Linked DNA regions of Rhinolophus ferrumequinum. The protein of the gene in region 1 purifies or fractionates together with the protein of each later gene. This does not show direct contact. Links are inferred from orthologs where the notes say so. Each region holds a gene or a part of one and is shown in the gene's direction. Other genes may lie near its edges. The genes, in order: POP7 and RPP40.

What was found.
Region 2: the proteins of POP7 (region 1) and RPP40 purify together in Homo sapiens (co-immunoprecipitation; 4 studies listed by BioGRID and IntAct, with this or other methods). This does not show direct contact. The link is inferred for Rhinolophus ferrumequinum from reciprocal best matches to the Homo sapiens genes POP7 and RPP40.

The regions. Positions count from the first base shown.
Region 1 is NC_046290.1:90,968,359-90,979,793, forward strand, and holds the start of POP7 (ribonuclease P protein subunit p20), read left to right. Parts: upstream 1-6,218; 5' UTR 6,219-6,483; intron 6,484-11,435. Other genes in the region: GIGYF1 (GRB10-interacting GYF protein 1), read right to left, coding at 1-51, 161-290, 385-419. UniProt on the Homo sapiens protein: Component of ribonuclease P, a ribonucleoprotein complex that generates mature tRNA molecules by cleaving their 5'-ends. Also a component of the MRP ribonuclease complex, which cleaves pre-rRNA sequences.
Region 2 is NC_046292.1:88,845,737-88,856,982, forward strand, and holds the start of RPP40 (ribonuclease P protein subunit p40), read left to right. Parts: upstream 1-6,777; 5' UTR 6,778-6,820; coding exon 6,821-6,943; intron 6,944-6,996; exon of another isoform or gene 6,997-7,674; intron 7,675-8,559; coding exon 8,560-8,704; intron 8,705-10,148; coding exon 10,149-10,217; intron 10,218-11,206; coding exon 11,207-11,246. UniProt on the Homo sapiens protein: Component of ribonuclease P, a ribonucleoprotein complex that generates mature tRNA molecules by cleaving their 5'-ends. Also a component of the MRP ribonuclease complex, which cleaves pre-rRNA sequences.

The DNA.
Region 1 (11,435 bases):
CTCTTCCTGGAGCACCGCAGCAAATTCCTTGTCCTGCAGCTCATCAGGCACCTGGCAATGGGGCAGGCGGGCCAAGACACCACATGCTTCTGGGCCCTGTCCACTGGCGGAGGCCACACGGGCAACTGGGCCACACACCCCACCCTGCGCCACCCCCTACCTTGTTCTCCTTGACGTAGAGGGCCAGCATCTCCTCTCGCCCATAGCGATAGTCAGCCAGCTTGTATTTGGGCATGGCGGGGGATGGGGGTGGGGAGGCTACGCTGCCACCACTTGAAAGTGCCCTCAGCCTACAGAAGGGACACAGGGAAGGAGAAAGACAGGTGTCTGAGCAACCCTCTTCTTCCCAGCTTCCCCATGCCACCCACAGCACATCTGACTCACCACTCAGGCCCAAAGTTGAGGGTCTCTGCTGCCATTGTGAAGCTGAGCGTGTCCTAACGGTCGGAGGAGATGCACAGGGACGAGGGGACCTGGCGTTCACTCTCCAAACACCTGTGGAGACATGGGGGACACTGGGCTTAGAAGCAATACACCCAAACAACCCTGAGAGGACGAGGAGTATGTCCTCACCTTGGTGGGCACAGTAATGGGTCTCAAAGGACTCACCTAAACCACCCACATGCCACTCACACCATGAGTTAATAACCAAAGAGCTAACCAAAGGGAGAAGACCTGAGGGAGGACGGAAACAGGGCAGCCAGATCCCCTTTTAGCTTCTGTAGGAGTCCCTCCCTCACCCCCGACTCACCTGGCAGCCTTACCCCAGGAAGCAGTTAGAGTGGGGGCCTGACTCTCTTCAGGCAGGAGCCTATGCTGGAATGAACCAGGGTCTCCAAGCAACTGGACGTTGGTGTGACCGCAGTGGTACCTGGGGAAGGACCTTCACATTTGGGCAAGACCCTTAACGAGAGGTGAGGGGAAGAAGGCGGGTTAAATGAATTGGGTCAGACAGCCCTCCCTGCTTCTAGCCCTCCTCTGTCCTGTATAATAGGGACCACAGCCCCTGCTCCTGCTCATCTCTGTCCCCCACATTTGGCCTCACGAGCAGTTAATTCACTTAGCAAAGCATGTCTGAGGTGCTGGAGGTGTGGCAGAGAACACACGCGGCACCTCTCTGGGGCTCAGCACTCTTTCCTGCATGGCGGTATTCAGTAAGGGGGTGTTTAAGGTTTGCACGGACGTTCAGGACAAAGATAAAACAAAAACAACCAAACAAACCAACCAACCACTGGAACCACAAATATTTTAAAGAGGAAAGGTTATGGAGAGAAGGATTAGAAATTAATCTGGGCAGAAAATTACTTCCCTCCTGAAAAATCTCAGAGCTGGCTATTGGTGGCTAGAATCCAGAGACTCAGTTTTGAGAGAAACCCAGTTCAGGGGAACTGGGGTGGGGATGCTATTCCAGAGCCAAAGGTGGGGCAGAAACACTGAAGGCTGCAGGCAGGCGAGTCCAGCCAGCACACCCATGGACTGGTTTACCAAACAGGAACCAACACCCAGGCCCCTTCCCTGGACCTGGAAGAGCCCAAGCACAAGTACAAAGTGCCAAGAAGGGAACAACGTTATTAAGATACAAGCTAGGAAGAAGGCCCCTTACCATAAAGTAGAAATACGGTCAGTTACTGAGACTGACAGAAGTGGCAGTGGTGGCAGTGACCTGTCCCTCTAAGGATCAGCAGAGGAGATTCTCAGGAGGCAGCTCATCCCTGGCGGTTCCGAGCAGAGGACGAGCAGACAGGGTCTCAGGGGGCTGCGCAAGGGTTCCCTCAGTGGCTGGGGGGGAGGTTGGACCGGAGCGCCTCCACGATGCCCATCAACTCTAAAACTCCACAACTCTGGGACGGAAGGAAGAAGCGTTTCTACCGGAGGGAACAAGAAGAAAAGTCTGTTGAAAGCTCTTCCTTTCACGGAATTCAAGTAGGACTCACAGGACAGTAGAGTAAGGTTAATTCTTTCTACACTACAATCCTTATGTAATTTGGCCAATGGATGAAACTTGAAGACATTATGCTAAGTGAAACGAGCCAGTCACAATAGAACAGACATTGTATGATTCCTCTCATGAGGTTACTAGAGGAGTCAAATTCAAAGAGACAAGAAAGTAGTATGGTGGGTGCCAGGGCTACGGGGCAAGGGGAGCGGGGAGTTGTTGTTTAATGGGTACAGAGTTTCAGCTGAAATGGGGCAAACGAAACAGTTCTGGACAGGATGGTGGTGATGGTCGAACAATGTGAACATCTTTAATGTTGCAAAACTGTAAACTTAAAAATGGTTAAAATGGTGTATGTTAGGGGTGGCCGGATGGCTCAGCTGGTTAGAGCAAGAGTTCTCAACAGCAAGATTGCAGGTTCAGGATGGTGGGCTGCGCCCCCTGCAACTAAGATTGAAAACAGCAACTGGACTTGGAGCTGAGCTGCACCCTCCACAACTAGATTGAAGGACAACAACTTGGCGCTCATGGGCCCTGGAAAAGCACACTGTTCCCCAATTTAAAAAAAAAAAATTTTAAAAAGAGGTATATGTTATACTTTACCACCATTTAAAAAAGGTTTAGGAAAAAAAGGCATTTGGGAATAGCCATTACATACCTAAGCCTTCCCAATTCCAAAACAACACCTCATATTCTTCAAACAAATCTCAGGAGAGGCTATTCTGAGCCTCCTCCGGTTCACTCCAGAAGAGCCTGTCTTCTAGAGGAACAGGAGTCCTGTGACATGGAAGGCTACTGTGGGGAGGGGGGAACAGAAGAGGGACAACTCACCCTCCCACCCTGCCAAGGAGTGGCAAAGGTGGCTCTCCTTGGTACTTTCCACGTCTGGCCTTCACCTTTCTGTCCTGGTTTTAAGGAGCAAAGTGAGGAAAGCGGCTTCCAGTGTGAAAAGCAAGAAAACTGCAGAGGCAAAGGGAGAGGCAGTCAGGGGGGAAGAGGAAGCACAGGAGCAGCTGGAGAAAAAGGCCAAGTCTCCTGGCGGGCCCAGCCAGGAGAGGATTGGTCCCAGTGCTGGTGGCTGACTGGCCCTTCCTTGACAAGCAGCAAGCATTAACTCCCATGGTTTGCACCCCTCCAAGCAGATATGTGCGTCTTTTCCACATGCTTCCTCGAAGCCAGCAGTTCTCAACTGGGGGGAGGGGGCGGTGACTCTGCTCCCCAGGGGACATTTGGCAAAATCTGGAGACATTTTTGGTTGACATGACTGGGAATTACTACTGGCATCTAATGCGTAGAGGCCAGGGATGCTGCTAAAATCCTACAATACACAGGTCGGCCCCCACAACAGAGAATTATCTGTCTCAAAATGTCACTAGTGCCACGGTTAAGAAACCCTCCTCTATGCCATGAGCACAGGTAATCAATCCTATTCTGTTTATGGGGAAGAATGGAAGACGACAGAAACCAAATTTACTGCAGTTCATTCTCCCACTGAAGAGCAAGGAAATCATTCCCTAATTATACTGTCCCATGAGAGAAATATGAAATTCTGCCAAGAGGGAAATCCTTGGGAAAACACTAGGTTGAAAGAAACTGTCCCAAATTTCTCTATCACAAACTCTCAAAGGCAAGCGTTTGGATCCCTTTCCAGTGAAGGAAAGAGTGAGAAAGGCAGCAGAGGACTCGGGACACGGCCTTTCCTGGCTACTTGATCTAAGGGTCTCCTCACAGGCTCATTCCAGCTTAGCCCCACCGCTTGCCCTGCCCTGAGGCCGCCTGCCTCATCTGTACTGGCTCTTCGTTCTCAGGCCTCAGCATACCCTCACTCTCCTGGCATCTGAATTATTGCTATTAAAAGGCTGCCCCCTGCCGGAATCAAGGGGAAAGGACACACACTGGTCCTGGGTGCTCACAACAGGCTTCAGGGAATAAGAGGGGAGCCTGTTCTCTGGGGTTCAGAATTCACAAAAGGCAAAGATTCAGAGACTAGGCGGTCCCAGTACACACTAAGTTAAGAACATTATTTCCTCATTCCATCACCCCTAAAATTAGCCCCAATCCAGAGCAATGTGCCTTGGCACAGAAAGGTACCACTATTAACAGAAGTAGAATCCCAAATTCCCCAACATTTGAGCAATCGCCCAGCTCCAAGCCTGTTGGAGGTGACTCCGCCCTTTCGCAAGATGGAAAGATTCTCCCAGCATGGTAGGATGAAAACTTAAGAGGCTTAAAAAGGGGGTGCAAGCCCACATTCCTCTCGGATGGTCAGCTATCCCAGCTCTCTACTCTCTGAACAATCCTGACAAATTCTGCCCCTCGGCATGTCTATTAGTTAACAGTTTGCAAAGCAATTCCACACTTTACCTCATTTGATCCCTTTTGCCCACTTGCCCAGTCTTGGGTTCCAGCCAGGGAAAACAAGGGAGGCTGCAGCTGCAACGGCAGGGGACCCGGACGTCCCTAGACACCATGCAACTGAAGGGGCACGTAAGCAGCAAGAACCATCCCAAACTCTCAAACATACTTTGTGAGTTTCAAGTCATTTTAAATTTCTCATTAGAGAAATTTTAAAATCCTTCACGTAGCTGCCTCTTTTCACCCTCTCAGCTCTATTCCAAATCCCAAATACAGAAATAAAAGCGAGGACGAACGGGTCTTTTAATCCATCAAATCACACACAATACTAATACGTCCATTGGCTGAAAATGCCAGGCCGGGGGTCTAAGCACACAACTCACTTGACTGTAATTAACACATGGGACATTTGAGGCCCCTGCCCCCAGCGATGGCAACATACAGTACACATCTGCCCCAACCTTTCCCAATGACATGCTACACCTACAATGTAGGAAACAAAACGAGCTGGAGTGAGGGTTGGAGACCTGGGACTGCACAGGGGACGGTACAGATGAAGGAACCAGAGAGCAAACTCCCAAAGTGCGAGCCGCAGAGGGGACGCATGGTGTTTGAGCTGCAGAGGCAAACGAGGGGGCTCTTGGTGGGAGGCTAAGTTGTAACTGGCATGTCATCTCCAAGGGGCGTTGGAGAGGTAGTGTAAAGGGTGATGATTGTTGGGAACGCAGCACTGAACAGCAAGAGGGGAGTAAGACTGGGGTGCCTGGAGGAAAGAATAGGCCAAGAAGTATTGATTTAGCATCTCCCAGGGACTGGCGCTATGATGGACCAGGGCTGGAAGCTTACTAGAATTCTAGTAACGACTGGGTGAGGTGCGAGATGAGGGTCTCCTTAAAGTTAACTCAAAAAAGGGGAAAGTGTAAGGGGGCCGTGGCCAGGGAGCTGCTGCATCAGGGGGATTGGGCTGGGAAGGGCCAAGCCTGGCGACAAAAAAAGACTAACGTGTTTAACATGGCTGGGCAACCGGGAGGAAGGAGACCCCAATGACCAAGCACTAATGTTGCTGACTGAAAGGAAATTCAGGTGAAGACCCAGCAGAGGTACTCTGCTTAAGGGGAGAAGGCTTCCACATTAGCCAGTCGTGCAACGCGTGGACTTGAAACCCGCAGGGCCCAGCTAATTTTGACAAGAACCCCGAGACACGTTAAGGAATCTCTGGGGAGCGCCCGGCATTCGGGTCGGGGGCCTCCGCGCGGGCCCGGCGGAGGATGCGGCGCGGGGGAGGCCGGGGGCCCTGGACCGAGCTTCCGAGGGGCAGGAGACGACCGTTAGGAACGCGGGGGTGGGAAGGAGGCAAACTGGCCGGGAGGACGGCGTGCCCTTCAGGGAGGGGCGCCAGGTGCGCGGGGCGTGGGTGAGGGCGGCCACCCCCCGGGAGGGACGGCCGCGTAGGGGGCCGTCGCGCCGGGGGGAGGGCCGGGGGGCGGACGCACCCGGCGGCAGCGGCCACGGGAGGAGCTGGGGGAGGTCCGTGCCGGCGGCCCGCGCTCTGGCTCCGGCTCTCGCAGGCTCGACGCGGTCGCCTCGGCGTCGGGGGCGGGCCTGCCCCGGGCCCGACTGCGGGCCAGGGGCTGCGGGACCGCCGAGCGCTTACCGCGGCGGGCGGGCGGGCGGCGCGAGGCTCCGGTCGCGGGGCGTGGGCGGCGGGCGGGCGGCGCGCGGCGGGCCGGGGGCGGCGGCGGGGGAGGGGGCGCTGGCGCTCCCGCGGCGGCCGCTCCTCTCTGTTTGTGTTTGTAGCAAGATGGCTGCCCGCCTCGTACCACGTGACGCGGACGCGGGGCCGCGGGGCCGCCCCCTCCGCCGCCGCCGCCTCCTCCCTCCGCGGCTCCCGCCCGCTCGGACCCGCACGGCCTCGCGCGCTCCCCGCGTGCCCCGCCGGCGCGGCCCGGACGCCCGCCGCCTCCGACCCCCCCCGGCACGTGACCCGGGAGCCCGGCTCGTCACGTGACGCGGGGGCTGCTGCGGGCAGATGGGTGGGAGGTGTCCCCGTTGTACTCCGCGGCTATCCACCGGCACGTGACGCGCGACCATCGCGACGGGGCCGCAGCTAGTGGCATCACCGGCCTTTCCCGGTCGGACGGCTTCCTCCAGGAAGCCCGCCTGCATTGAAAGAGACTACAAACGATCTCGAGGTGTGTTTATCAGACGTCCTGGGATATATACAATAACTGAGGAACCTAATGATTTAGAAACAGTCCCAGGCAGCGCTGACTGGTGAGACCTGGAGTTTTACCTGGCTCCGCTACCGAGGAAGAGTTGAAGCTTTCTCGTATAGTAAGCAGTTAATGCTGTCCTCTGCCCCGTACCTGGCTGGCCCCCACTCCACGCCCTTCCTGGAACGCTGAAAGCAGTAAAATGGGTGAATGTGAAAGACTTTGAAAAGCGATTAACTACTATGCAAATGTAAGACTTAGATTGACAACTCCTTTGTTTAAAACATAGGTTTTCAGGAATTACTTTTCTGAATCCCTGAACCTTTTCGAATGAAAAAGTTTTGTGTGTGTTTCCACCATTTTCCTTGGAGGTCATTCCAGAATGTGTGCTCTGCTACCCAGCATCCTAAAAGAACTGTTACCAAATACAAAATAATCCTCAAGACAGGGAAAGTTAAGTTTAGACTTGGAACTTGAATCCCCTGTGTTGTGCCATAACAGAGTGCGGACCTTAGGAGCTACTACAAGCAAAGCCCTTTGTTCCCGCACGGAGTATCCCCCAGGCTTCTAAGTACTTGTAGTTTTAGTGTCGTTTTTTTTCAGTTCTGCTGACTTTCTTGCGGTCTTGATTCCTGCCTCAGTGTTGTCAGTCAAGCTGCTTGCTCACAAGCTGGAAAATGCAATTGTTTAAAGCAACGGCTTCTGTGCTTCTTTCCATTACCAACAGTGGCCTTGGGCAAGTTCATTAATCGCTCTCCTCTGTGGATTGTATGGTAAAACACTTAACACAGTGCTTGGCACAGGACAAGCACTCCATAAATGTTAGCTAATAGGGGCTTGTGGTTCCACAGGGTCCACAATATTCAGATTGTTAACAGTGTATAAAAATGTATCAACAGAATTTAATCTTGGGTCAGAATTCTCCTAGAATAAAGCTCATAAGCTTATGACAGCTGTTTTTTCTTACTCAAAAACTTTTCTTGTTTTTGTTTTTCTTAACTTCGCTAGATTGTATTCTGGGTAGTTGAAATTACCAGTAGTCTAACTTCTGAATGAGTGCGGTCTTAGCATGTTTTATTGATTAATTGGCGAAAGTGAGATTGTAAGTTATGGTGGAGAAATGGTGCAGGGACAATGGGGGAGGGGACATCTGTGGATTGGAAAATGTTGGGGACGGTGGTTTGTGCTGAACTGGAAGGAAGGGCAGGATTTGGATAGATTTAGGAAAAGTGGGCATTCCTTTGAGAATAGTAAGGATGATGGAAGACCAGGCTGATGGAAGACGATCTGGATTGCTAGTTGGATGAGAAGTGAAGTGAAACTCAGTTGAGGGCCTAGGATGCTACCATGAAAATGCTTTTGTTCTGAAAGTAGCACCCACTAGATGCACTGAATCAAGGAGAGGGTAGAAAATTAAGAGTGATAACCCATGGTTCCATGTGTCCAGCTTGTGACCCTGGGCAAGTAATGTCCCCCAACTGTAAAGTGGGTACCCTGCTGCTGCTGACACTGGAAATGAACCGCATAAGTGCCCTCTGTGAGAAAAGAAACTATGATATCAGACTGAATCTCTCATACAGGATTAAAGAAAAAAAATTAGAAATCACTTGGACCTAAAATATTTTTGTTTATTCAGGTGCTATGCTGTAAAATGTCTTGGTCTGTGTTGTTTTAAATGTAGAAGCTTTGGAACTAAAAGAAATTTGGTTAGATGATAAATCTAGATGAGAGGGAGGTCTCAAGACTAAACAGCCAAGCTTTGCCTTTTTTCTTAATGGCAGATTCCTCTGCCGGTGTTTGCCTTCAGTAAAATGCGAAAAGATAAGGACCATCTTTAGTGTCACATCAGTTTGTGACAGAGCTTGGTTCACCCACCTAAATTGTGAACCTTTACATTTATCTGGATGACAAAGTATAGAAAACATTTTAGACATCATGAAAAGACACACAACCTGAGTAATGGAATGGTAGTTCATAAACTGTGCTTATTGTTAAATATGAGACAAAATGGACCTTAAAACTAATGTATTTCATTCAGAATGAGTTTCTGCCATGTGCCAAGTTCTATGGTGGTCGACCAAATGTAACTGCTTGTCAGGTCACCAATGACCGACACATGGCTAAAGCCACCGGCCCATTATCGTGTGTGGCCTCTGAGCAGCATGACACCACTCCCTCCTCCAGGAACTGCTTTCTTCACCTGGCTTCCATCCTGGGTTTCCTCCTACCTCACAAGCTGTTCCTCCTCTTCTCCCCTATGTCCCAGGGCATAGTCCTTCTAAGCCTCTCCATTGTAGCAGGAGGGACTACACAGGATATGAACCCCACTGCTACGCATTCCTGTCTCAGCTTAGCCATTGCTTCCTTTAGAAAACCTTGGATCCCCCAAGGTCATATTGGCTGTTCTTCCTTGGGGGTCCACCAAATCCTGTACATTCCCTCCACTGGTCACACTGTCTTGCTCATGTTGTTTGCCTTCCACACGAAACTGAGCTGCTTAGCACAGTATTCTATGATATCACCAGTATTCCATCTAACAGGACTCCTTGATCCCACCTTTATTGCTGAATAGTATTCCATGGTGTGGATGTATCACAGTTTGTTTAACCATTCACCTGCTGAAAGACACCTGGGGGTTTCCAGTTTAGGCTATTATAATGATAAAAGTGAACTGGTATTGGGTAAGCATTTTAAGATACCAGTTCACTTTTATCAATAAATAAAACTGCTATGGACATGTGTGTACAGGTTTTAAATGCCTAGGAGTGTTCTTGCTGGGTCATATGGTGAGTATATTTTTAGTGTTAGAAGAAACTGCCCAACTTTTCCAGAGTGGCTGTACCATTTAACAGTTCTACAGCAGTGTATGAGACATGCAGTTTCTCTGCATTCTTGTCAGCACGTGTTATTGTCAAGATTTTTTATTTTGGATATTCTAATAGGTGTGTAGTGGTTGTCATGGTTTTAATTTGCATTTCTAATGGCTAAGAATACTGAGCATCTTATGTGCTTATTTGCCATACTTATATCCCCGTTGCTAAAGTGTCTGTTCAAGACTTTTTCCCACTTTCTAACTGGGTTTGTTTTCTAACTCTTGAGTTTAGAGAGTTTTTTATATATTCTGGATACAAGCTCTTTGTCAGATACATGATTTGCAAACGTATTCTCCTAGTTTGTGGCTTTTTTTTCATCCTATTACTGTGGTTTTTCACAGAGTAAAGGTTTTTAATTTTGATGAAGTACAATTTATCAATTTTTTTCTCTAATGGATTGTGCATTTGAGGTTGTATCTAAGAACACTTCACCTGACCCTATGTCGTAAAGATGTTTTCCTCTAAAAGTTTTATAGTTTTACATTTTATATTTAGATTTGCCATCCATTTTGTGTTGATTTTTTTGCATAGGGTTGAAGTTTAGTTCTTTGCCTATTTGTCCACTTGCTTTAGCACCACTTGCTGAAAAGACTTGTTCTTTCCCCGTTCAACTGCTTTTGCATCATTGTCAAAAATCAGCTGGCTGTACTTGTGTGAATGTATTTCTGGGTCCTCCTTTCCATTTTACTTATTTTTGTGTCTATTCCTTGGCAGTTACCACACTGTCTTGATATTGTGTTTATACAGTAAGTTAAAATCAGGTGATATATTTTTTTTTTCGAAATTGCTTTAACTTTTCTTGCCTTTCCATATAAATTTTACAATAAACTTGTTTGTATTTGAAAAAATTCTTGCTGGGCTTTTCAGCATAGGAATTGCATTAAAGCTAGAGATTAGGAGAGAATTGGTATCTTTACTATGTTGAATCTTCTAATACATGGACATTGTGTATCTTTGTATTTACTTAGATCTTCTTTGATATCTTTCATCAGTATTTTGTAGTTTTCAGCATGTAGATTTTGTACATGTTTTATTAGACTTACACGTAAGTATTTCTCCCACCTCCCCCCATCTCTGGGGTGATTATAAATGGTATTGTATTTTAAATTCGTATCCAATTGTTTATTGCCAGTATATAGAAATACAATCTGTATCTTTTTCTTGCCTTATTGCTCTGTCTGGGAATTCCAACAATAAGAGTGGTTGGTGAGAGAAGACATTCTTGCCTTATTCCTGATTTTAAAAGCAAGGTGGCCAGTCTTTTATCATTAAGTATAATGGTAGCTGCAGGTTTTTTGTAGGTGCTCGTTATCAGGTTGATGATGTTCCTTCTATTCTTTTTTTTGCTTAGAGTTTTTATCGTAAAAGGGTGCTAAATTATGTTAGTTTTTCTGCATCAGTTTGATATGATCATGTGAATTTTCTTTAGGCTGTTAATATGGTAGATAATACTGATTGGCTTTCTTATATTGAACAATCTTTGAAATCAGTTCTATTTAGTCATGGTGTATAATTCTTTTATATATAGTATTCCCCGCTTATCTGCGGGGATACATTCCAACACGCCCCGTGATACCTGAAACTACGGATATTATTGAACCCTGTATATACTATGGTTTTCCTATACATACATACTTTTTCACTTAAAGGAAACACTTTACAGCTTCTCTTTGGCATATCTGAATTGCCAGCATCACTACTCTTGCCCTTTGGAGCCATTGAGTAAAGTAAGAGTTACCTCAACACAAGCACTGCAGTCCTTGACAGCTAATCTGATAATCAAGATGGCTACTAAGTAACTAATGGGTGGATAGTGTATATAGTGTGGATATGCTGGAAAAAGGGATGATTCACATCCCTCAAGGGACAACAGGAAGGCAAGATTTCATCACACTATTCATAGTGGCGCGCAATTTAAAACTTATGAATTATTTCTGAAATATTCCATGTAATATTTTCATACTACAGTTGACCACTTAATTAAAACCGTGGAAAGTGAAACTGTTGATAAAGAGTGTCTACTATGTTGCTAGATTAAATTTGCTAACATTTTGTTGA
Region 2 (11,246 bases), on another chromosome or scaffold:
TGAAAAGGTCTTAGATGCTTCTGCTTTCTCTTTCAGAACACAGCCATCTCCATGAGAACAAGCCCATGTTAGCCTCCTGGAGGATGAGCCACCACTGGGAATAGAACCATGGTGCCTGGTCGACAGCCAGCTCACCCCCAGAAGCAGAGCCCCCCAGTATACCAGCAGCTGCCACACACACATGAAGTAGCTCAGCTGGGAGCAGAAAAATGGTCCAGCTGAACCCAGCCTGACTGCTGACCCGCTCAGTCATGAACTAGCTAAGCACTGGGTGGTTTGTGATGCAGCAATAGCTAATACATACACCCACTGCAGACAGGATGCCAGGATTCAACGATGTGTTAATTACAAGTTACTTGGCTAACAGTAGGCACCCATTGATGCTGATTTCCTTTTCCCCTTATTTAAAGTTGGATCTCTTGAGTTATACATAAATACATGTAAACATGTGTGCATGTAATTAAATTCACACCTCATGCCACAGGAGGAAATAGACAAGAGTCTGATCTCTAGAGCCCAAGGTCAGATTGCAAAATAAGAAATTTGCCTTTAATTATTCCCTCCAAATCTGAACAGGGGATGTCAAGGCCACGGACAGATCTGACTACATGGGGTTCCCTTCTCTTGGGGCCTCATCTTCCTTTCACTGCTGTCTGATCTCAGAAAGGGGCAATGGAACCACGCCAAGAAGCAGTGGTCACCCGTTGGAAACTTCCTGCTTGCACCCCTCTGCTCCCTCTCAGGACACGATCTGTCTCCATGTTGGGTCTGAGGAATAGTTCCCTCACGTCTGGCTGAGATGGGGGTTCAGGAATTCTACCTCTCTGAAGTCAGGGGGAATGACAGCCCTTAGACCTGCACTTCCAATGTGGCAGCCACTCACCACATGTACTGAGCACTTGAAATGTGGCTGGTCTGAATTATTATGTACTAGATGTATAAAATAGAGTGAATTTCAAGATATTTTACACACAAAAAATGTAAACTATTTCGTTAATAATTTTATATTGATTTCACATTAAAATAATATTTGGGATATATTGGGTTAAATTATATTATTACAATCAATTTCACTTGTTTCTTTTTATTTTCTTTAATGTGATTACTAGACCTTTTCAAATCTCAGGCTGCCTCCTCAGAAGACCAGAGGGCAAGAAGATGATGAAATCTGAAATTTTTGAATCATTTGTCGTTTTATCGTTTCCATTTGTGAATAAAAGATTTAATAAAGCTTTTTACCCTCATATAACCTTAAGTTGAAGGTTTAATATTAAAATACCTATCCTACATGCGTTTCAACATCGTGCTAGGACCCGCCATTGTTTCGCAGGGCGCTGCAGCCATGTGGAGACACTGTCCTCATCCTTAAGCCTTTACTATTTGGAGAGCTCAAGGATTGGCTGCAGGACCCTGTTTTCAGGTTTCTTAGACTTTCTTCCTCCAGTGTGATTAAAGAACAAGGCCAAAATTAAGTTTGAAGCTCTCAGAAACCAAAGGATTTGTCTTTCTGTGCTGTGGCTTACCAGCATTTTTAGTTTCTATTATCAGAAATACCAATTGCAGGTCGCAGCCGGGAAAAAGACCATGAGGAATTGAGAGGCACATTGCACCTAATCTGCACAGGCACGTGCACTGCTAAAAAGGGCCATAACTTCCAAAAATCTCTTAAGTTTTCAAGACTTAGTCCACACCAAGCATTAGACTGACAGCGCCCTGTGCCGCCAATGGTGTTGAAAGGTGACTACAGATGCTGAATCCAGGGCAGACAGGACTGTGTGCTGTAAAGGGAGCCACACATCACAGAAACACGAAGTCACACTTCAGGTAAAGCAAGCACTTTGACCAAGATTAGTTGACTCAAGGCAACTTCATTCTTTTTCTTTCCCAATAAACATTTTCAGGGTCAGAAGCCCAGACTCCACGTAGCAATGTTTTGATGACTGCTCAGCACTGAATACAAGAGGAATAAAGGAGATGAAACCCACACTTTAATTGTAAACAAATGTTGTCAGTGAAAACATTTCAGATCCGTAAGTCCATGTATCTATTAATCATCACAGTAATCTGAAATGCAAGGAAATGATACAGCATGTGTCACTTATAGGTTTCTTTTTCTCTTGTCCCCTCTTCATTTAAACATCTAAAGTTCCTAAGTACATAGATACTCTTTATGAGAAAAAAAAAGAAGAAACTCCCATTGATATCAATGTAAACATTTAATATTGGACAATCAGTTTTTTCATTTTCTATTTTGTCTGTATTGCTAAAGAGGCAAAGATATACAATTCTATATCTTAGATATTGCATTTTTGTAAAGACTGAATGTAATAAGCTTCATTCCTTCAATTATTAACAATAATTACAATTTGCCCGTTCTCTGCAGAATACACTTCCAGGAACTGTGGGGATGTGGAAAAGAAATAAATATTGTTTCTATGAGATGGTAAGTCCCTTGAAGGCAAGGACAGGAGATGGTCTCTCTGGTCCTTAGCAGTGTCTGGCACACCGCAGGCACTGCAGAGGTTGATGACTGCCTGAATGAATGAATACGGTACTTCCAATGGGCAGGAAGTCCCGCCCACACCTGGCACTGCGGTTGGCCATGTACACACGGACACTGCCTGGACCCCCACTCCGAGAATTACACTTGCAGCACACCACTTCCTCCCTGCAGCCCAGGGCAATGACTCCAGCTGTTGGAGAATTGGGGGACTTATCTCACCCCATGCTCTTATCTCACCTTCTTTCTTCCCCTCAAGTCTGTATCCAAGCTACCCTTCCACTTGAGTCGTTCCACTGCTCAAAGCTCCAGTCATTCTACCTGAAGCAGCTCTCCTCTTGCCTTTCTTCCCTCCCCCATCCCTGCTGCTGTATTGCTTTCTTTCATCAGTTTTTGTCTCCTTTCCTTGTAAAATAACTCTTCTACCACTTTCTACCTCATTGGCATTTATTTGGGAATCAGAAATTCACCCCACAGCTTAATATTCCATTTTTGGAATAAGTCAGTCACACTCTGGAACAAGCACCAGTGCCATCCACCTCCAGAGATCTTGAAAGTAGTTTAAGATCTTTTAGAACCTCCAGAGAAATCTTAATCTTTCCCATTTCCTTCTAGTCAAGCTTTTTTTTCCTCAAGTACCAGCATTGAAAATAAAGTTTTAAAAATTATTGTGCCAGCAAGAAAAGGAATGAAGTACTGATTATGTTGTCATATAAATGAACCTTGAAAACATTGTGCTAAGTGAAGGGAATCAGTCACAAATGTCTATTTATTATGATTCCATTTATATGAACTGTCCAGCAAAGACAAATCTACAGAGACAGAAAGCAGATTAGTGGTAGCTTAGGGCCTGGAGAGGACAGTGGGGAGGGTAGGAGGGTGATAGCTAAGGGTGTTCCTTTTTGAGGTGATGAAAATGTCCTAAAATTGACTGTGGTGTTGGTTGTATATATCTGTGAATATACTAAAAACCGTTAAATTGTACACTATAAATGAGTGAACTGTACAGTATAGAATTGTGTCTCAATAAAGTTGTTTTAAAATTTTAAAAATTATTATGAACTATTTCATACATTCAAAATTATATATATACATACATATATATGTTCATATATCCTGTACCTGTCACCTGCCTCATAAATACAACTTCACTGGTTTTGAAGACACGTGCGTGTCCTTCCCAATACAACCCCTTTGTGTTCTGCTTTTTCTCTATATTGAGATATAGTTGACATATAACATTATTAGTGTTCTGCTTTTAAAATACTCCTTCATTTGTACACTTCCATGTACTGACATAGCCTACATAGTTGTCATTTTTAATGTTTGTGTGCTTCACTGATTTCCAACCAGTCAGAGGGAGGACAGCTGAGGAGAGAGGAAATATCGTCTGACTTTGCACCTTGAGCAGAACTTCTGAGATTCAAGTCCTCTCATGGGGTGGACCATGGAGTATCGTTGGGGGCCATTCGTTTTTTTCCCTTGCAGCTGCTAGATCCAGTTTCCACTCTGTGTGCCATCAGAGGGCGGTTTTGTTTTTGTATACCAATAAGGGTCCATTTGTGGTGGCTGCCTGGAGTCCTGCACTGGAAAGAGCGCTGAGGTCAAGTTCAGGTTCGGCAGGACGGAAGCCTCTGATTTATTACAGGCATCTGCAAGTCAGTTCCCAGCACTGACGTCACTGCTACTCTGACTTGTAAGGAGGCGATGTTAAATGCATCCAGGGCGGTGCTGGGCACCAAAAAACAGGACTTAGTCACTCCAGGAGCTTCTGAGCTGAAGAGCTCTCTCCTTCCACGACTGCATATTGCTAGCTATATTTCCACATATATTTATAGCACTGCAATTGTGTTTTGGATTTGCACCCTGACCCAGGAATTAATTTATTTAAAAGAGTATTTCAACGTTTTCAAGGAGTTGAGCATCTTTAAATTCTGGTTATTTCTAATTTTATTGCACTGTAACCCCAAAATGTGGTATGTAAAATTTTTGCCCTTTTAGATTTACTAAGAATATTTTTATGTTTTTTAAGAATACAAAGGTATTTTTATTTCTTTGCAAGTCTGTTGACTTAGTTTTTAAAAACAAAATCATTTTGTTACTATATAGTGTGTGTATATATTATGGTTTTGTTTCCTGTGCTTTTTTCCCTTTTTTAGCCATTTTTTTTTCTGGCCCTTCATTCTCTCTTAGAGTTTTCTTTCTATGCCCTATGCTCTAGATCTAATACCTGTTTGTCAGTTAAGGTTGCTTTCAGTTCTAGAAACCAGGAAATCTGACACACAATAGTATGAACAAGGCTATGGTAGGAGGCCACAGAGGTGGGCGGGGACCAGGTTATCTAAGCTTTTATGCTACTGCAGTGAGAAGCCAGTAGCAGGTTTAAATGGGGGGTGGAGGGAGGTGGCATATATCATGTTTTTCATGTGTTCAAGAGATCATGCTGGGTGCTGAGTGGAGAGTAGACTGTAGGAGGGCAAGACAGGAAGCAGGGTCAGGAGGATGTGCCTGGCAGCAGACCAGAAAAAGAGGAAGGTGGCTGAAACTGGTAGTAGGAATGGAGAGAATGAAAAGAGACTGCAATCAGGATGCATGTTGAGGCAGAGCCAACAGAGGATTGCATATGGGGTGTGAAGGGAAGAAGAGTCAGGCATAACTCCTGAGTGTTCCCCACAGGGAAGAGAATCCAGGCAGTTTTCAGCATATAGATGTATTGAAAGCTGAGACTGCAGGATCATTCTGAATGGTCAGGCAGGGAAGAGAAGGGGGCTGAGAATCACTAGAGATCTTCTGGTGGAGGAGCAGGAGCAGGAAGAGGAGCTGAGTAAGGTGTGGGGGAGATCCAAGAGATGGAGGGGGTGGGTCTCAAAAATCCAGAGGAAAGTGTTTCAAGAAGGAATATTTTGAAATGTACCCAGGGATCATTACAGACACAGAACTCTGGGAAGGCAGGCTGAAAGGACTCCTCAGGCCCAAATTTACTTGAAGCTACAGCTTTAATCTATAAAATAAATGGACTTTTGCCTTCTGTTTCATAATACAGGCACACCCCGCCACAGAACAAATCCTCAAATAATGTATCCCTGGAAAGACACCTCTGTGTTTTGAATACCCAAACTACATAGCAGGTATTTATCGCTCAACACATTTTTCAGCTGTATATATATATATATATATATATATATATATATACAGCTGTATATATTTATATATATATATAAAATTTATATTGAGTCTTCAAAATTTAATAAAACTTAGTTTAGTGGCTTGCTAGAAAAGCTTCATCTTGCTCCCAAATACAGAATCACACTATACTTTGCAAAGCTTTGGAGTATCAACAAGAGATGAATATATCTGACGTGGCTGCTTTTGGAAAGGCCACTGATACTTAATTGTGACCAAGAAGCAATGTTTTAGGCATTTTACATCCAAATATATTTGTAGCTTATGTCTAGGTGCTGTATTGTGATTTAGGAAATTGGTAGATTTTTTCAATTGACTTGCTATTCCTTATAATTTTTTCCATTGAAAATAGGTTTTCCTTATTTTTTCCAGAGACAGCCTGACATTTCAGGCACAGGTTACTCACAACTGGCAAGGGATCTTCTAGCTTTGTCTTAAACTTTTAATACTTACCTTGTAAATTACTTAACTTGGGTTCTTCCAAATTTTATAGTCAAATTAATGCTCCAGAAAGTTGTACCACATATTCTACTGTTTGGTATCCTCTCTGCACAGAATTGGGGCTGTGCATACTTCAGTTTGAGAAGCAACTAGTCAGGTAGTACTTGAAGTTTATCAGAAAAATTAAATGGAAAAATAAATTATTACTGTAACCCCAACAGCAATAAATACTAAGAGGTTCCGGAAGGATAATTAAAAAGGGGTCTTAAAAGTGGTTCCAAAGGCGTCTTAGTGTAGTGCGGAAAACAGAAATTGGGTATTACCTTCCTAAACAAACTTCCTAACAGTTTAGGAAAGAGCAAGGTGGGGGTGGCGCTCATAGGGAGGATTTATGGCGAGACAGAAGTTGGGAGGGATGGAGGGTTTGGAGAGAAAGGTGGCTTTGGAATGACAAGTTCCATGTTCCCAGGTACCAGGTAATTCCATTTGACTCAGCGAACTTACGGTGCCAGGTACCCGTTAGTGAGTTTCTACTTGGATCCCAAAGAAGCCTGGGGCAGCCGGCACCGCCAGCTCCACCCCGACCTGGGGTCGGCCTCAAAGAGCGCCGCCGGGCCGCACTGCGCATGGCTCAGGGGCGGGGCGAAGGGAAGGGGCGGCGCGCCAGGCCCGCGGAGGTTCTGTGGCAGGGAAAGCATGGCCACCCTGCGCGGGCTGAGAGAGGTACCCCGGCACTTGCTGGTCTGCGAGAAATCCAACTTCGGCCACGACAAGTCGCGCCACCGGCATCTTGTGGAGACGCACTACCATAATTATAGGGTGAGTCGGGCCGCCCTCGGCTCGCGAGCTGGAGAGGCTTGAGAGGATCTGTACTCCGCTCTGCGTGGCGGGCCCGCCCTCGGCGCTGGGGGGCGGGGCCCTTCGCCGGGAGTGCTGGGAGCTGTAGTCTCTAAACGGGTCGGAGCTGGTTGCTGGCGGACCAGCCGGATTACAACTCCCAGGATGCGCCGCGAGCGGCGCGGTATCGGCCCTGGGGGAGACCTGGGCGGTGTGCGCCGGTAGCACGTTCCTCCCGTCCCTTCCCCGGCCCATTTGCAGAGCATCCCGGGGAGGGATGTGAGGGGCAGGGCCGCGACTGTTGCGAAGTGCAGCCGCCGGCCGGCCTCGTACAACTCGCTTTTTCCCCACATCGAAACCAGACTCGCCTCTTCCCCACCGCCTAATTCCTTCTCCCACCCGTGTGCCTGTGGATTTTTCAGAGCATCGTGCGGAGTCTACGCCCAGATAACGACTTGCTTTTCTAAACTGCTTATGGAAACTGGATTGATAGCTGAGAAACTTTCCACTTTGCCTGCCTGCTGCCCTATGTGTACTCAAGACACACTGTGCTATTTCGGCAGCTTTGGGGAGAAATTCGCTGTGATGGCCCCGCTAGCGAGCACAACCAAGAGTTTTAACAGGGTGGTAACAATGGCTGTTGTTGCTTCGTGAAAATGTCACCCTCAGGGGTGCCTTTTCCTCAGATGTGAAAGTCGAGGCATCTCAGTGAGGTTAATTATTGGTTTATCCAGGATCTGTTGTGAGTGGAGGAGAACAACCCAGATTCCCAGTCAAGTGTCTATAGGGCTGTTTTCACCAACCCATTTAAGTGGTGAGACCTCCAAAAAAATCAATCTCAAGATGATAATGGTTTAAGCCTTTAGCACGTTAAATTGATCAGCCTGATCAAAACTCAGGCCCGACTGGCCTGTTTCTCAGAGACTCAAGTGCTGACTCTGGCCCTTCCGGGACAGACTGGTGTGTCGGCAGCTTTGGGAGAGTGATTTTCAATGTGTGGAGCCTTGGGCAGCGTGTGAAACCCGTTAGGTTTTAACATCTCCGCTTTGGATGGAAAAACTACTCACAGATAGTAGTCAGGGACGTATGCCTTAACTCGCCAGGTCTGATCTGTAGAATTTTTCTGTCTATAAAATAGAAACATCCAGTAGCACTTCTGCTTCCATGTACCCTACTAATAATTGGTTCTGAAGAGGTAAATTCCTTATGCTCTAAGAGACATTTCCTGTGATTCAAACCCGCGACCAGGATAAACAAATTTAGGGATATTCAATTGTCCTATTTTCCCTAAAAATTAGTAAAAGGAACAGGACATATTTATAATGCTTCTTTGTAAAAAAATAAAATACTAGCACGACATTTCCATTATTTATTTGTTTTTTGGGGGTCATTCTCCTTCCTATACGATATTTGAATACAGAAATGAAAACTTGAATTGTCAGGTGTTTCTTTTCTTGAGATTGGTAAGTTAATTAATGAGAGTTTTGTAGAAATCTCTGGCGGTATAGTTAGCAGCCTTCATGATCTATATCATCGCTAAAATCCTGGGTGTTCAGCTACGTGAAAATAAAACTTGTTTATATTACACATTCCAATAGGTTTCATTTCTGATTCCTGAATGTGGTATACTGTCAAAAGAACTCAAAAACCTGGTCATGGAAACTGGATCCTATTACTTTGTGAAGAATTTACCTGTTCATGAGTTAATTACACAGGAATTCATCAATACCTTTGTAAAGAAAGGTAAGAAAAACCATGCAGTGTCTGTGAACGTGGCAAGATGAGGAAGTATGGTTAGATCACATCACAACACAAGGGTTTTTCTCTTGTGTTAAATCGGGCCTATGGAAATAGTCCGTGTGGTCAAGTGCATGCATTACTCTCCCCATTCCTCAGTATTCTTGCCCTGCTCTTCCACATGCTTTCATTAGGTGGTGGTTTCCGATGACATTTGTCCACAGGTGTTGCTTGGGGTTATTGTAACATGAAGGCATCCCTCATCTTAAAATAAAGATTAGTGAAGAGGAAACCCTTTTGATCTGTGTATTCAAATTCGGTGCTGTTGGGTATGTGCCTCCAAAGAACAGTATGCTCCCAGTACCATGTTTCCCGGAAAATAAGACCGGGTCTTACAGTAATATTTGCTCCAGAAGACGCATTAGGGCTTATGTTCGGGGGAATGTCATCCCAAAAAATCATGCTCGGGCTCATTTTTTGGTTAGGTCTTATTTTCGGGGAAGCACAGTAGTTCCCACAACAGATATCTGAAAGGTTGGTTTCGGATAGCAGCTGTTCACAGTGGTTTGGTGTCTTCTGCTTAGACTTGGTTCTGAAGAGGTAAATTCGCACCCTCCTCTGCTCACCCCATTCCCAGTCGTGTCTGGTGGGTGGATTGGATTATTCCAGTTGTTTCCTAGGAGCCACTTGTTTGAAACTATTTCAGAAAATCTTTCGGGATCGCACCCTCACACCGCACGTTACTGCACTTATAAGTAAGCAAGCCACTTACTTAGCTTGCGGTCAGACCGTGTTTTCCTCTCCAGTGGAGAATCCTAGTTCCTGGTAGCTCCTCTCACTCTGATGTTGCTGGGGCTGCTTATGAAGCTGGGCGTCTTGTCTTTGGTCTCATCGACATTGTTCCTTTCATCTGTTTTGAAGTTTGATGCTACTTTTTTAATATTAATAGTGTGGACACTGGCTATAGTAGGCACTTTTACATATCTTACCCAATTTAAACCCTTGCCACAACTCTATGAAATATGCCTGTGATCCCCATTTTACAGGTGAGGAAATTGAGGCTGGGAGAGATTAAGTAGTTTTCTTAACTTCTCACAAGTTCCTGGCTCATTTTGATTTTTAACCTGGAACTGTGCCTCTCAGGTGTGCACACTTACCTAGTATTCCACTTTGTGCCTTTCTGCCAGCATCCCCAAGGCACACATGCCATCCTGTGTCCATTTCCTGCTTGATAGTAGTCAGCTTATACGAACAGGTCTTGGGCGGGGGTTGAACTAACTGCTTGGCCTTTCGTGTTCTCCAGGTTAGCATTGGCAGGTTTTAGGTTTACTGAGTGAGCTGGAGCAGTGATTTGGATGATTTATTATCACGTAGAAATAATCCACTGACTTTTTGCAGGTCTGTTTTTTTTTTCCTTGCCTTAATTTTTCCTCTGGGCTTTCTCTTACAGGTTCATGCTATGCACTAACATACAATACAAATATTGATGAAGATAATACTGTTGCCCTGCTGCCAAATGGTAACAACACTCAGTTTTTTCTTTTTTGTTTAATTTTAGAAGAAATAGATACTGTAAAAAAAAGAAGGCAAATCATACAGATGTATATAAAGTGAAGGTTCCCCCCTCTCATCCCTATTTCTTCCAAACTCATTCCCTTTCTCAAAAGGAACTGTTGTTAATAGGTAAATGTTCATTTTTATAGACATTGTCTATGAATTTATACATACACATAAAGGTGCCTTTTTTTTTTTAACAAATTACGTCATATTATATTGTTTCTCAATTTGCTTTTTTCCCAAGCTATATATCATAGACATCTTTCCATATCAGTGCATATAGTTCTAATTTACTATTTTTAATGTCTTGAAGGTATCCCAAAGAAGAGGTATACAGTGGCTTATTTATTCCTTCTTCAGTAAAACTTAAATAAATTTCTAGTTTCACTATTGTAAATAATATCTTTGTATGTATAATGTATAAACAATACCCTTCAATTATAAATAAGATGTTTGTGTATATAAGTAATATCCTTATATTATAAATAAGATCTTTGTATGCAATTTATTGCACTGACACCTAACTGCTCAATTTGCCTTTCCTTTTTTTTTTTTTTCTAAAGATTTTTATCGGGGAAGGAGAACAGTGCGTATTTCCAGGACTTTAATGGGGAATAGTGTGTTTTTCCCAGGACGCTCCAAGTCAAGTTGTTATCCTTCAATCTTAGTTGTGGAGGGCGCAGCTCAGCTCCAAGTCCAGTCACTGTTTTTCAGTCTAGTTGCAGGGGCCGCAGCCCACCATCTCATGCGGGAGTCGAGCCGGCAACCTTGTTGTTAAGAGCACGCGCTCTAACCAACTGAGCCATCCGGCTGCCTCTCGGCAGCTCAGCGGCAGCTCAGCTCAACGTGCGGCGTTCAATCTTAGTTGCGGGGGTGCCTTGCTTTCTTTTAGTCAGTAAACATTAAGTCATATTTTTGACATCTCTTTTATGAGAATTATTTAATTCATAGGGAAATTAATTTTATCACTGGATAAAGACACTTATGAAGA